Linked DNA regions of Macaca fascicularis. The protein of the gene in region 4 purifies or fractionates together with the protein of the main gene of each other region. This does not show direct contact. Links are inferred from orthologs where the notes say so. Each region holds a gene or a part of one and is shown on either strand. Other genes may lie near its edges. The genes, in order: TCEAL4, TCEAL2, MYH9 and USP11.

Region 1 (3,885 bases), about 63 Mb from region 4:
TTCTGTTGGGACATAGTGTTGCTTAGTCCATCATGGTCTCCAGCCCAGCAGCAGCAGCTACTGCCTTAGGAGGGTGCAGGATCCATGAGAAAGGGGCATACTACCTTTCAAGTATGGCATTACCCAGAAAGAGTGGCACCCATCTCTCAGCTGTCTGGACTTATTTCTGGGCACAGGTGAGACCTCCTTCAGCCCTCCCCAAGCGTCTGACTGGGTACTGGTTCTGCTAGTGCAAGGGGAGAGAGTAGGAGCCAGCCTAACACAGCTCACACACTCAATACCTCATTTGATCTTCTCCACATGTCTAGGCTAATTTTATCCCCGTTTCACAGATGTCAAGGCTGTCCCTTACAGCAATGGAGCTGTAATAACCATCGAGTTGACTCCTCCAGCTTCCAGTCCCAGAGGTAATGCAACTTTTACCCATCATTTTATGTCCTGACAACAAGAATTTTAAGTATATCCACTGTCTTTATAAGTTCACTGGGCAGTTCATTTGAATGCTTATTCAAATGAATGAAATTCAAATATTCACTGTTTTCCAATATTTTAACTTTTATTATTTTTATGATTAAGAAATCTGTTTTTAGGAGAAAAATGGACAGATGAACAAAAAAGTACAGAAAAAATCACGCACAGATAACCACTGTTAATCTTTTAGTTGACACAGCTTTCAGAATTGTTTTCTATACATAAATTACTAGGTATCTTTGTAGTTTTACAAAAATGTACTGATGCCATATGTTTGGTTCTGCAAGTTGTGTTTTTTAATTTTACAATGCACCATCAACATTCTTTCCATGTAACGGATGAAAATTTGCTACTAAGAACACCGCGTTGCAGTTGGGTCAAAAGGCTGCTAGTAACAGGAGGGATGCCTAAAGTAAAGTACTACCGTCGGGGTAAAGCACATGGCCTGGTAAATGCCTGCCAGGGACACTACACATAAGGAATGTCTTCAATGTCCCTTCGTGGGGCCCTGCAGCCACCCCTGAATTCCCTTGGGCCTCTAGGGTAGAAGGGGTCCTGTAAATTTCTTTGCATCCACAAAAACGCCCCCAATTTCTGTTTGCTTTTTCTCTTCTCATCCTGCACCTTAGCCATATTGTCAAATTCTCTTATCATGTCCTCATTGCTGAAATTCATATCGTGTATGGCCTCTTTATACTCCTTGAGGTAATGAGCCAGCCCCTTATTAGTTTTTCTTTTGGCTTTCCTGGGTACATCACCCTCAGCTGGGCGCTTTCCTGCAGCCCTTGTTTCACTCCCTGGCTGTCCTTGACTCTCTGGCTTTCCCTCTATCCCTGGTTTTCCCTCTCTCTCTGATCCTCCCTCCATCTCTGACTCTCCCTCCCTCTCTGACTTTCCTTCTTCTTTTGCCTTTCCCTCACTCTCCGGCTTTCCTTTATCCTTTAACATTTCCTCATCTGTTTTGCCCTTGTTTTCTGTCTTTCCCTCGTTTTCCAACTTCTTGTCTTCCAGAGTACAAGCTACTTCTGGCTTTCTCTCGTCCTGTGGCTGTTCTTCATTTTTCATCTTTCCTTGGTTTGAAGCCATGCCTTCATTTTCATTGTAGAGTTTTTCCATGTCGAGATTTCCCCTCCTTTTCGTGCCCTGGGGGATGGGGGTGGAGGGAAGAGGAGACAAAGAGGAGACATGGGAGACTGAGTGCGTGGGATGAAATGCAGGTCTGGATAGTACTTGCATCTCACCCCTGATGAGGGTTCCCCTGAGCTGGCGGGGCCTCCAAGAGGGCCTTCTGCCCACCACGTAGCCTGCCACTCCTCCCACACACGTGAGCCAGCCATTGCCTGGCAAGCCCTGTCACTTTCTCTGCAGTGGTTCAGCCTGGTAAGGTGTGTGTTAATGTGGGTGGGGGGATGGGCGGGGGCCCCAATTCGGCTCTGGCCGGGCCCTCCACACTCTCAACCCTTGTGGGCCCCTGTCCATGCAGCCCCCTACTTTCACGGACCTGCGGGGATTCTGGACAGGTTGCTCCTCTTTTTCAGGCTTCGCAGAGCGCTGGGAACAACAGACGCGCAGACCTGCGGACAGACAGGAGACAGGGGTAGGGGCTGCGCGCTCAGCGGGCTCACAGGGACTCGGTTCCCTTTCCTGAGTCCAGGCCCTTCTCATCCAACGTTTTCCTCCCCTACCTCCCCCGCACCCCAGCCGCCATTTCTTTCCAGGCCTCGGGCACCAAACCAGGATGCTTTCCAAACTAATTTTGGGTCTCTGTGTCCTTCTTCCTCAGAGGCAACTCTCCTCCCCAGCCTCGCGGTCAACGTTTTTCTCTATGTACGGGAACGGCAGAGGGGGTTTACTTCCACTGTCTCACTACTGGGGCGTCCCCAGCCCACCATCTCCGGCTCCAAAATGGACGGAGGGCAGAAAAGAGGATGTGCCTGGAAAGCGAGCATGGATACTTGGAGGTGCTCGCCTTCCTCACCCTCTGCCCACTGCCTACGTGCTCCCCCTCAGCCACCTTTAGCCGTTTTCCCACCGCCATCTCTGTCCACACTCGGGCCAGCTTCCCTCGACTCGACCCGACCCCACCCCCAGCCTTTCCCGGTACTGTACCCGTTCCCCTTCCGCCATTCCAGTATTCCGCTGGCAGCGTGGAAGGCCCGCACACTGACCTGGAGGAAGCTGGACCAAGAATTAGGAGCCCAGGAACTGGAGCAGACGGGACCCAGCCGCGGGGACAGAGGGCGGGCACTCGGACCGGTGCCCACATCTGCGCCCAGGCAGATCACGTGAATGCCGCAGCACAGGAGTTCCACCGCCCCACGCCCCACGCCCCGCCTCCTAGCCAGCCGCTTCCAGCTACCCACCACCTCTCTCCAGCAGGTACCCTCTCACCTCCCTGGACCCTTTTGTCCTTTTCTTCTTGTTAAGAAATTAATCAAAGAAGGAATTTTAATGAAAATCGCAAAGTTGTTTTTTTTTTTTTTAATGAGTTGGGCGGTCCAGAGGAGGAGTCTTGATAATGTTGCTCTTAAATTCCACAGAAATAACGTAGACCCACCCGATAAAATCGTATAAATGTGAACTCAAGTACTGTATAAAGAATAGAATATCGACTTTAGAAAAAACTTAATAAAAATTTTCCAAAATAAATGAAATTGTCCCTTTTTCCTGACATGTACAAACATAAATTTTCAAATGAATAAAAAAAGTTATATTTGAAGCAAAATAAAAACGATTAATTTATCTTAAGTGAGAAACTGAATGTACAGAGACAATGACCAGACCACATACGAAAATAGAACTGAGACCCACAACCGTTGCTGCAAGCAGCTCAAGAAGCCAAAGTATAGCATCTGCAGAAATGTTCAGGACTTTAATCAATTTGCTAGCCTTTCTGGCCTTTTTAATTTTTTTGACCTGATGACAAACAAGAAAAACCCAAATATGAACCCATACTCAATCACATAGGATGCTTGCCTCTAGTTGGCCTGCCTCTAGCTTCCTCACGTCAACAACATCCAATCAGAGCATACTTGAAGTCTTTGTGTTTTTGTTTTCCGCTATAAAGCTTTCCCACTCCCCTGCCTGTCTTTGAATCTCTGCCAGATTCAAATGATGGTGGCTTGACTTCCTTGCTATAAAAAAGCTGTGAATAAGTAGCACTTGTTTGTTCTCTTATGGGTAGTCTCCGTTTATCTCCACATAAGCTTTTGGTGTGGAAGGCCTTTAAATATAGTCACGTGCCACTTAATAATGGGGATATGTTCTGAGAAATGCATCAGGCAATTTCGTGGTGGTGTGAACATCGTAGAGTGTGGTTATACAAACCTATATGGTATAGCCTACTACACTCCTAGGCTGTATACTATAGCCTGTCGTATTCTATGCTGTCTGTTGTCGTTGGCCAATCGATAT
Region 2 (4,078 bases), about 61 Mb from region 4:
TCTTGAGAACTTCAGCCCATCAGCATCAATGGGAGCTTTAGGAGGGTGCAAGATTTATAAGAAGGAGCGCAGTGCCCAGTGGACATGACATTGTCTAAGAGAGGATGGCACCCACCTTTCAGTTTCCTAGACTTATTCCTGGATACAGGTAAGATTTACCCTAGTTCTCTTCCAAGTGTCTGAGGGGGTATTTTTTCTGCTAGAGCAGGGGAGAAGGTAGATGTCAACCCAACACATATATTCTCTACCTCATCCAACCCACTCAGCAGTTCTGAAAAGCGAAGTATTATCTCCATTTGACAAACAACAAGACTGTCCATTAGAGCAATGGATCTGTAATAACCCCAGGTTGACTTCTCCAGATGAGTCCCACAGGTAGGTAATGTGAATTTTACCTATCGTTTTAAGTTCTGACAACAAGAACTTTAAGTGTCTCTACTGAACTTCATAAGTTCACTGGACAGTTATTCTCTTTGTTTTTTACATACTGTGTTCTGATTTTTAAAAATATTTTATTATTTTTGTGAGAAAAGTAATTTGTGTTCTCTGGGAAAAGAAAGATTAGTAGAAAGAAAGAAAACAAAGAAATGAAATCACCTGCTAGCTCACAACTCAGAAAACCACTGTTAACCTTTCATGTATTTAACAAAAACAGACAGATTCTGCAGATGATATTACAAGCTGCTTTATTTTTCCATGAATCATGACGTCTCTGAAATGCACAGGTGTGAAAATCTGCTACTGAAACAGAGCAAGCAAGCACTGGCAGGTGGGTCAAAAGGCTACTGGTAGCAGGAGGAACAACTAAAGCAAAGTATTACCATAAGGTTAAAACATATGGCCTGATAAATGCCTGCCAGGGACACTACACGTAAGGAATGTCTTCAGTGTCCCTTCGTGGGGCCCTGCAGCCACCCCTGAATTCCCTTGGACCCCTAGGATAGAAGGGGTCCTGTAAATTTCTTTGCATCCACAAAAACGCCCCCAATTTCTGTTTGCTTTTTCTCCTTTTATCCTCCACCCTAGCCATGTTGTCAAATTCTCTTATCATGTCCTCATTGCTGAAATTCATATCATGTATGGCTTCCTTATATTGCTTGAGGTACTGAGCCAGCCCCTTGTTTGTTTTTCTTTTGGCTTTCCTGGGTATATCATCCTCAGCTGGGCGCTTTCCTGCAGACCTCCTTTCACTTTCTGGCTCTCCCTCACTCTCTGGCTCTCTTTCACTGTCTGGCTCTCGTTCCCCCTCTGCCCTTCCCCCTCTCTCTGGCTTTCCCTCTCTCTCTGATCCTCCCTCCATCTCTGACTTTCCCTTCCTCTCTGACTTTCCTTCTCCTTTTGCCTTTCCTGCACTCTCTGGCTTTTCTTTATCCTTTAACGGTTCCTCATCTCCTGTCTTGCCCTTGTTTTCTGTCTTTCTCTCGTTTTCTAACGTCTTGTCTTCCAGAGTACAAGCTACTTCTGGCTTTCCCTCGTCCGGTGGCTGTTCTTCATTTTCTATCTTTCCTTGGTTCCAAAGCATTCCTTCATTTTCATTGAAGAATTTTTCCATGTCGAGATTTCCCCTCCTTTTCCTTTCCTGGGGGATGCGGGTTGAGGGAAGGGGAGACAAAGAGGAGACATGGGAGACTGAGGGCCTGGCGTGGAATGCAGGTCTGGATACTACTTGCATCTCACCCCTGGTGAGGGTTCCCCTAAGCTGACCGGACCTCCAAGAGGGCCTTCTGCCCACCACATAGCCTGCCACTCCTCCCACACACGTGAGCCAGCTGTTCCCTGACAGGCCCTGCCACCTTCTCTGCACTGGTTCAGCCTGGTAAGGTGTGTGTTCATGTGGGTGGGTGGAAGGGCAGGGGCCCCGATTCGGCCCTAGCTGGGTCCTTCACACTCTCAACCCTTGTGGGCCCCTGTCCATGCAGCCCCCTGCTTTCACGAACCTGCGGGGGATTCTGGACAGGTTGCTCCTCCTTTTCAGGCCTCTTAGAGCGCTGGGAACAACAGACGCGCAGACCTGCGGACAGATAGGAGACAGGGGCAGGGACTGCGCGCTCAGCGGGCTCACAGGGGACTCGGTTCCCTTTCCTGAGTCCAGGCCCTGTTCACCCAACGTTTTTCTCCCCTACATCCCCCGCACCCCAACCGCCATTTCTTTCCAGGCCTCGGGCACCAAACCAGGATGCTTTCCAAACTGCGTTTGTCTCTGTGTCCCCCTTCCCTGAGACAACCTGCCCCAGCGCCACCCCATTTTTGCGGAGATCAAGTGTTTCTATGGGCGTAGATTGTGAGAAGGGATTATTTCTAGAATATGTCTACGTTTCACTGTCGCACTGCGGAGTCGCTACCCCCACCCCTCATTTCTAGCACTAAAAATGGATGGATGACTCAGTGCAAGGGGGCGTCGTGAAGGCGAGCCAGGCTCGCTTCGGGAGTTCTCCCTCCCCTGTCCCCACCCCGGTCCGCTCCGCAGGCATCCCCTTCCTCACCAATCTACAGGATTCCTTCTCCGCTCCCTCCCCAATCCTACTGCCAGCCCCCTCCACCCCTGTCCCAGGGGCCGCCGACAGCGCCCGCTTTCACACTGACCTGCGGGTACCCAGGACACGCCTGTGCTTCCTCCGGCTCGCGGAAGCCGGCTCGCTGCTCCCCAGCAGTCTGGGCAGCTCAGACAGCTTATTCTGCGCGGGCGCCGGGACCCGACCGCTGGGCTGGCTGGCGGGCTGGCGTGGGGGCTGGTGCCCACGTAGGCGTCCGACGGATCACGTGAGCGCCGCGTCACTGGAGCTCGGCCCAGCTCTTGCCCGACACACCTCACCCTGGAGCTCGGCGCCCCCTCTTGCCTGACATACCTCATCTTCCATCCCTGAGGGACCGGAGGCTGGGGACTGTCGGAGTCTCGGTGCGTTTGTGTAGCAAAGTGGGGTCGCGGAGAAGAGGAGGAGGGGTGGCTTTCTGACCCCAGGTGCTTTACCTGACGCAGCTCACAGCATCCTCGCAAGGCATCTCTCTCTGATGCCCATTATCGCCAGGTGTGACAGCTGATCAAAGAGGGTACCCGACTTTGCCAAGAGGGCTCAGCCCCAGAACTCCACAGCCCACTTTCAATACTGGCTCTGCCTGACTCCAGAGCCCGGGGTAGTGACGCCTGCCAGGAAGCTGAGCTGCCACCTTGAGTGGCGGTGTTCCTGGGGTTCTGTCCTGGGCCTCCTCTCTCCTCAGTCCTCAAGTTGTCTCTCCCTGTGTGATCTCATTCATTTCCAGAAAGCACCGATGACTCCCAGATCTACATCTCCAGGCTATTCCCTTCTCCGTGTCTCATATCAACTTTGCCAACTCTCTATTGGACATCACCGCCCGAGAGTCCCTGAGGGACCTAAAAGCCCGTGTACCCCAAATTTATTTCACCAACTTCCTTCTTGCCATCTCCCATGGCCTCTCTGCGCACTTGAAACTTACCTTCCAACATTTGATCAGTTTTCATAGAGAGAGAATCTCAGACAGGTAGAAAAGAAAGCATTAAAACCTTTTAAATATGAATTTCAGATGTACAAATTCATCATAGTCCTTGGTTTACAAGACACCCTTATTATTGATCCCTGCTTGTCCCTCTTCCTTCCCTTTTCTTTCCTGTCCTGTTATGTCCTTCCCTGCCCATCCTTTGTCTTTTTTTCTTTCCTTTTCTTTCACATTTGTGAAGCTACCACCCACAAAAACTAAAAGTTACCAATATTTTAACTTCTACAGTGTAGTGACATGTATATGTATATATACACATATGTTTATTTATACACACATATATGTGTAGATGTATATTGTGTACATATATATGTGTATGTCGTGTGTTTTTTTGTGTGTGTAAATCTGGGCAACAACTATTTTGGTTTGCAAAATACCTTATCATGATTATATGATTATGAATTATGTATGTTACACAAACAATTCTGATTATATTTCTGCTACACATCTTTCTTCATTTAGTAAAACCTCGATCTTCCTACAATATTTTGCTCTATCAATATGTGTGTTTGTCATTATCACCACATAACCAACAGTACTGTCCTCAATGTTGAATTTTTTCCTG
Region 3 (3,697 bases), on a different chromosome or scaffold from region 4:
AGGCTTGGTGTGGATGAGGGCTGGGAGCCCCCACAGTGGGCCTGAGGGTCAACCTCCCCCGGGCTTCACACGGTAGACGGATGCCCCTTTGCAGAAGCTCCATTTGTCTCGCCCCCGTGGAGAGGGAAGTGACTGGGGGAGGCGGTTTCATAACTGGGCGGATCCCTGGTGCCCCTTCCACGGTGTGGCAGGCAGGCTCCCAGCTGCCTCAGGGACGGGTGTGCCACCTGAGCAGGTGCCATCTCGGGCGTCTGCTTACTCCTGGCTCCTGCCCAGGTGGCCGACATGAAGAAGAAGATGGAGGACAGTGTGGGGTGCCTGGAAACCGCTGAGGAGGTGAAGAGGAAGCTCCAGAAGGACCTGGAGGGCCTGAGCCAGCGGCACGAGGAGAAGGTGGCCGCCTACGACAAGCTGGAGAAGACCAAGACGCGACTGCAGCAGGAGCTGGATGACCTGCTGGTGGACCTGGACCATCAACGCCAGAGCGCGTGCAACCTGGAGAAGAAGCAGAAGAAGTTTGACCAGGTGTGTGGCCACTGGCTCCGTCCTTTGTATTTCTTCAAGCACTGAGTCCAAGGCGAAGGGCCCGTCAGAGAAAGCCTGGGCTCCCTCAAGGTCTTGCCCGGGAGGGCCGTGCGGGGCAGCGCTTGGAGGCCCCCCCGTCTCTGGCTTGTCGAGGGACGCAGGGAGAAGGCCAGTGGAAGAGGGTGTCTTCCTGCAATGGGTTGAGGAGTGACTTTTCCTTTCTGGTTTTTTACATTTTTCAGATTTTCTGGAATTAAGTGGTTTGACTGTCTTTTAAACGATTTATTTATGCACTCATATCGCTTCCTTTTCCAAAATATCAGAGGGCAGCTGAGGGGGATGCGGACTCAGGGGCGGGATAGAACAGTAGAAGACACCGGGCAGCTGACTGCGGCAGTCGGGTCCAGCCCACTGCGTTTCGTGGGGAAAGATGGAGTGAACACAGCCACACTCCGTCGTTCTCGCGTTGTCTTTGGTTGCTTTGAGCTGTGGTAGTGGGGTTGAGCCATTGCTGCAGAGACCGTAGGGCCTGCGTACTCTAAAGAATACACTATCTGGCGCTTTAGGAAGTGGTCAGCCACCCATGGAATAATTAAGGTTTGGGCCAAAAGGAAGGGAAGCTGGGGAAATAGGATAGAGCCAGGTGGGTGCACACAGAGAACAGATGCCAGGGGACAGAAGCTTTCGTTAGAGGAGACCACAAATGGGGTTCAGGCTTCCTGGTAGCCAGCTTGGCATTCACTCCGTGAAAAATGCCAACCAAATGCCAACTTTGGTTCAGGAGAACCAAAGCTCTTACAGGTTTGGAGGGCTCTCATGGAAGGGGCAGCATGCCATAAAGGGTTACGATTAGTAAGTGATGAAAATTAAACAGATGTTACGACATGGCGTTCGCAGCAGTGCCTGCCCCAGTCGGCAGTCATCCCGTCATGAGGATGCACAGGACTGTGTGTGTTGTCCCGGGCACAGCCCTGGGCCTGTGCTTCCTAGATCTGCTCCTCTCCGCCGTGGCCTCTGGGCTCCGCGTTCCCCAGGGAGCTTAGGCCCAGCTGCTCTGCCCCGCCGGGGGCCGTAGCTCTGAGCCTGTGGTGCTGAGCCTCATGGTGCCCACCTCTCTCCCAGCTCCTGGCAGAGGAGAAGACCATCTCTGCCAAGTACGCAGAGGAACGCGACCGGGCTGAGGCGGAGGCCCGAGAGAAGGAGACCAAGGCGCTGTCGCTGGCCCGGGCCCTGGAGGAAGCCATGGAGCAGAAGGCGGAGCTGGAGCGGCTCAACAAGCAGTTCCGCACGGAGATGGAGGACCTCATGAGCTCCAAGGACGACGTGGGCAAGAGCGTGAGTGCTGGACCTGGCAGCAGGCTCTTGGGAGGGGCCCGAGGGGGGTCATCACAGAGGGTCGCTGTGTGCACAGACTCCGGGTCTCGCAGACCCCGGTACCTGCCAGTCCCTTTGCTCCTGACTTGGGCTCTCTGGGGCTCAGGTCCACGAGCTGGAGAAGTCCAAGCGGGCCCTGGAGCAGCAGGTGGAGGAGATGAAGACGCAGCTGGAAGAGCTGGAGGACGAGCTGCAGGCCACTGAAGACGCCAAACTGCGGCTGGAGGTCAACCTGCAGGCCATGAAGGCCCAGTTCGAGCGGGATCTGCAGGGCCGGGATGAGCAGAGCGAGGAGAAGAAGAAGCAGCTGGTCAGACAGGTGTGCATGGCCTCCTGCTTCCCCACGAGTGCCCAAGGCTGCCCTGGCTTCACGCAGGCTTCTGTTCTCTCCTTCCACTTGGATTATGTTAGGGCCCCTTGACCACGCCTCCCCTCCCATATCCCTCCTTTCCAGCCCCCTGTCTCGGGGTTCAGTGACTCACCTTCTTAGAGTTCTTATGGTCAGTAATCCCCACTGGCCCCCCAAGGCCCCATGGATCCTGCAGAACTGGCCTGAGGCTCCTGAGTTCAGAGCTAGGGCAGGGTCTCTGAGTGGGTCCAGCTTCCCAAGCTGTTGATTTCCCTTCCCCCAGGTGCGGGAGATGGAGGCAGAGCTGGAGGATGAGAGGAAGCAGCGCTCGATGGCAGTGGCTGCCCGGAAGAAGCTGGAGATGGACCTGAAGGACCTGGAGGCTCACATCGACTCAGCCAACAAGAACCGGGAGGAAGCCATCAAACAGCTGCGGAAGCTGCAGGTGAGGGTGGGCGGGGCCCAGGTGAGGGTGGGCGGGGCCCAAGCCAGCCAACTACATGTGAAGGTGCCGGGCCCGGGGCAGGAACCTGGCAGGGTGGCACCTCCTGGGAAGGTCCTGGGTGCTTCCAGCCCCATCTCACTGACAGAGACTCAGAGGCTCGGAGGTGAGTGGAAACATGATAGTCCAACAGCAGACTTGCAAAACGGTGAATGACTGAGTACATAAAACACAGAAGCAAACAAGTACAAGCCTAGACATGGGTGGAGTTCGAGAAGGTCTCACTTAATGCAGATTTCCAGAATCAGCCGGGTGCTGACACCCTCCAGCCTTCTGGGCTCTGGGGTGATGGTTCTGAGCAGCAGCCCAGAGTGCGGGACACGTACTTGGAAATCTTTACCTCACCAATAATTAAAGAATAATTAACACGTAAAAACAGCTCTGATACACCATATCATGTAACAAGAATAACCTTAGTTTAAAAAAAATTTTTTAAGTGTAAAAAAAAAAACCCACAAAAACTTTAAAACCTCTCTGTGGTCAGGGTTGTGGGCATAGCTACTGTGATTGCTGGTGGCATTTTTTTACTGGTGTGGTTGAGCTGTACACAGCCAGTCATGCTCTTTGGTTTGGGGAATCTCAATTTAGGATTTATCTGCAAAGATCTTTATTGTTCTAACAAATAACAGGAGAATAACAAAAGGAAAGGTGTTTCCTGCCTGTGGTGGGGACGGCCCGGCAGGCTGGGCACTGGTTTTGAGGGGCAGGTGCACATTAGGGGTGGCACCGTGGGCACCAGCTTCCGGCCCACAGGAGGGGACAGAAAGTAGGAAATGAAGCTCAGCTTGGGCTCACGTCCACGGTGACCAGCACTGTCAAAGTGTGCATGATGGGGTGGGTCACAGAGGTGTTTGCCTTTAGTTGCCTTTTCGCCCTGTCACCACGGTTAGTTGGTTAAATAAAGCATCGAGCGGAGCACCAGCCATGAGCCCTGCTGGCGAGGTGAC
Region 4 (3,133 bases):
AGGTTTGAGCGTGGAGGAGGGAGGAGAGAAGTGTATTTAAAAAGCTAAATATAGGCTGGGCGCGGTGGCTCACGCCTGTAATTCCAGCACTTTGGAAGTGTCCAGCACTTTGGAAGAGACAACTGAAGACAAGATGAAGATCACCTGAGGTCAGGAGTTCGAGACCAGCCTGGCCAACATGGCGAAACCTGTTTCTACTAAAAATACAAAAATTAGCCAGGCACAGTAACGGGTGCCTATAATCCCAGCTACTCAGGAGGCTTAGGCAGGAGAATTGCTTGATCCTGGGAGGCAGAGGTTGCAGCGAGCCGAGATTGCGCTACTGCACTTCAGCCTGGGTGACAGAGCCAGATTCTGTCTCGAAAAAAAAAAAAAAAAGCTAAATATAGTAGTGCCATCCAATGAAACCCCCACACACAGGCCCCGCTCTGGCCCCTCACCAGGGGTTTTCCTTCTCCAGGGTCTCCACAGTGGTGAAGAGCTCAATGCACTCCTGCAGCCGCACGGGAGCCTTCTTCATCACGTACCCAACGCAGTCATGCTTCACGTAGCCCTAGGGTTGGGTGAGCAGACGGCCAGGTGGCCGGGTGTGAGGACGGGTGGAGAAATGGGGAGTAGGGGCCCAGGAGGGGAGACACGCACCGAGTGGGTCAGAGCACCGACTTTGAAGCTAGGAACCTCAGGCCCTGGAGCTCTCAGTAGGTGTTCAGGCCCCAAGACCAGGCTTGACCTGGATCTCTTGGCTCTGTTCCTAGCTAGAGGAGTTGTGGAGAGGACGTACGAAGAGTTGAGGGGCAAGAGCTGAAAGTACCCCCCATCCCTGGGATCTCATTTACCTCAGCCTCTATCTCGTCATAGTAACGCTTCTTCATCTCTGGCTCCCAGTCAATAGCAATGTATGGCTGGGCTGGGGGCGAGGGAGAGATGGTCATGGTTCCTGCTGCCAGGAAATCTCCCCTCCGGCCTCCCCAGCCCTCATTGATAGCCAAAGGAGAATACCATGGACTTCTTCAGGGGAGGTTGTGCGGTCACTGGTCCCATTGGAGTTCACCGTCTGCAGGGTGAACAGCTGCTTGCGCCGTCGCCTTGGGGGCCACTGAGATGTGCCAAGGCAATTGTCCAGGAGGAATGGGCACCTGTTCGTGACTCCAGAGCTGGGCCCAGCCTGCTCTGGCTCAGGGTCTCGGAGGCTGCCCCCAGTTGAGGGCCCAGGGACGTCGTCTTTATCCTCTTCGTCATCTTCTAGGACAGGAGGATGTCAGAGATGGGAAGGTGTGAGCCTCAAGTGCTAAGATGCAATGCACACCTAGACGAACCCCGTGTGGGTAAGACCTAACCCAGAGCCCCCGCCCACTGACTGTTAGCCCCCTCACCTTTCTCATCCCCATCGTCCTCATCATCTGAGTTGGGTTTAGACACGTAGCGTCTGCAACAGAGCAAAGGAGACTCCCAAGGCAGGGGTACAAGGACAGTGGGGATAGAGCCCAGGATTTTACTTAGATGATAATGGGAAGCCACTGGAAGACCCACACGTAAACCATTCTGAATTTGAGGTGTGAAAGGGCTGAGGGCGTGATGCGTAAATGCACGAAGAGGCCAAGGCTGTCAGCAGTGGCCTGAGAATGAAGGAACTTGTGTCCCAGTCAGAGGTGTGGAGTGTGATTAGCTGGGCATGGTGGCACACGGCTGTAATCTCAGCTATTTGGGAGGCTGAGGCAGGAGAATTGCTTGAATCCAGGAGATAGAGGTTGCAGTGAACCAGATTGTGCCACTGCACTCCAGCCTGGGCAACAGAGCAAGACTCCGTTTCAAAAAAAAAAAAAGAAAAAAAAAGAGTGTGGAGCGTGGACTTTTAGTCTAATAAGCCACTGCTAGACAGGCACATGCCAGCTGTAACTTCCCATCAGGGAAGGCCTCTAAGGAGTGACTTCTGAGTGCAAGATGAGGGGCTAGAATTCTGATAACACAATGTTTTGTGTGCCACGGTAAAGACTCTAGATTTTTGGCACAATGAAAATTTGTCAGCAAAAAGACAAAAAACCAAGACTCTCCCAGGAGGCACAACTGACCCCAGGAGAGACAACTGAAGACAAGATGAAGTTGTCTGTGTTTTGTGCATCTTGTTCACCTCTGTATCCCTAGCACCCAAGAGAGGCAGTAGCAAAGCCAGAGGTCTAGAGAAAGAAAAAACCCTACAAGTTCTTCTATGTCCACGTAAAGTTTGGACTGTCTTTTGTTTGTTGCAGGGGAGGTGTCAAATAAGCAGCTGAACACCCAAGTTGGAGTTCAGACCCCACCACCCCCGCCCCTGGGGAAGAGGACACTTACGAGAGCCGGTACATCAGGACGTTATACAGGCCCTCCCAGGTGAAGCGGTCCCGGGGCACTGATACCAGGAGGGGGTGCCCAAAAAGCATCAGGCCATAGTAGGAATTGTTGTAGTCACGGGCAGGGGTGCGCTCCCGCAGGTAGACAGGAACCACGATGTCCTCTCTCGATCCCTCGATGGCCTCAATGCGACCTGACACCTCATAGCTGTGGGGGGTGGAGAGCAGGCACACCTGATCGGGGCCCCCAGAGACTCCCTAACTCTGCCCTGGCTGCCCCACCCACTCATCCTCACAGCCTGAAAGTATTTTTATTTTTTTTTATTTATTTATTTTTGAGATGGAGTTTCGCCCTGTTGCCCAGGCTGGAGTGCAGTGGCGTGATCTCGGCTCACTGCAAACTCCGCCTCTCGGGTTCACGCCATTCTCCTGCCTCAGTCTCCCAAGGCACGTGGCTGAAGCTCTGCACAGGGCAGGTGCCCAGTGAATGAGGCAGAGCAGGGAAGAGAGAAGGTGGTTAAGGCAGGACCATATAGAAGGAAGTGGACCAAGTTCCTGAGGGACCGCCATCTCCCCGTCATCCCCACTCACACGAAGATATCATCGCGGTCCAAGATGCTGCTCAGAGGCTCCTCCAGCTGATAGAGCTTATAGAAGCGGTGACTGAAGACATCAGCCACCATCATCTAGGAATGGGATACGGAGAGGGGGCTGTTAGTCTGCATGGCCTCCCCAGGCCCTCCTGCCTCCTTGCCCCAGAATCCCATCCAGCCTCCTTCTGCAGTCTCACCCTCTCTGGCGAGATG

The links.
Region 1: the proteins of USP11 (region 4) and TCEAL4 purify together in Homo sapiens (affinity purification with mass spectrometry; 3 studies listed by BioGRID, with this or other methods). This does not show direct contact. The link is inferred for Macaca fascicularis from reciprocal best matches to the Homo sapiens genes USP11 and TCEAL4.
Region 2: the proteins of USP11 (region 4) and TCEAL2 purify together in Homo sapiens (affinity purification with mass spectrometry; 3 studies listed by BioGRID). This does not show direct contact. The link is inferred for Macaca fascicularis from reciprocal best matches to the Homo sapiens genes USP11 and TCEAL2.
Region 3: the proteins of USP11 (region 4) and MYH9 purify together in Homo sapiens (affinity purification with mass spectrometry; 3 studies listed by BioGRID, with this or other methods). This does not show direct contact. The link is inferred for Macaca fascicularis from reciprocal best matches to the Homo sapiens genes USP11 and MYH9.

Annotation. Positions count from the first base shown.
Region 1 is NC_088395.1:109,960,143-109,964,027, reverse strand, and holds TCEAL4 (transcription elongation factor A protein-like 4), read right to left. Parts: upstream 2,255-3,885; intron 2,069-2,254; coding exon of another isoform or gene 1,881-2,068; exon of another isoform or gene 1,824-1,880; intron 1,615-1,823; 5' UTR 1,588-1,614; coding exon 940-1,587; 3' UTR 536-939; downstream 1-535. Other genes in the region: uncharacterized protein, read left to right, coding at 1,881-2,068, 2,255-2,897. UniProt on the Homo sapiens protein: May be involved in transcriptional regulation.
Region 2 is NC_088395.1:108,616,084-108,620,161, reverse strand, and holds TCEAL2 (transcription elongation factor A protein-like 2), read right to left. Parts: upstream 2,712-4,078; 5' UTR 2,584-2,711; intron 2,012-2,583; 5' UTR 1,938-2,011; intron 1,580-1,937; 5' UTR 1,553-1,579; coding exon 866-1,552; 3' UTR 670-865; downstream 1-669. UniProt on the Homo sapiens protein: May be involved in transcriptional regulation.
Region 3 is NC_088384.1:15,392,453-15,396,149, forward strand, and holds part of MYH9 (myosin-9), read left to right. Parts: intron 1-276; coding exon 277-525; intron 526-1,647; coding exon 1,648-1,860; intron 1,861-2,005; coding exon 2,006-2,218; intron 2,219-2,531; coding exon 2,532-2,693; intron 2,694-3,697. UniProt on the Homo sapiens protein: Cellular myosin that appears to play a role in cytokinesis, cell shape, and specialized functions such as secretion and capping. Required for cortical actin clearance prior to oocyte exocytosis. Promotes cell motility in conjunction with S100A4.
Region 4 is NC_088395.1:47,350,244-47,353,376, reverse strand, and holds part of USP11 (ubiquitin carboxyl-terminal hydrolase 11), read right to left. Parts: coding exon 3,118-3,133; intron 3,014-3,117; coding exon 2,919-3,013; intron 2,536-2,918; coding exon 2,329-2,535; intron 1,427-2,328; coding exon 1,374-1,426; intron 1,243-1,373; coding exon 1,000-1,242; intron 908-999; coding exon 837-907; intron 554-836; coding exon 441-553; intron 1-440.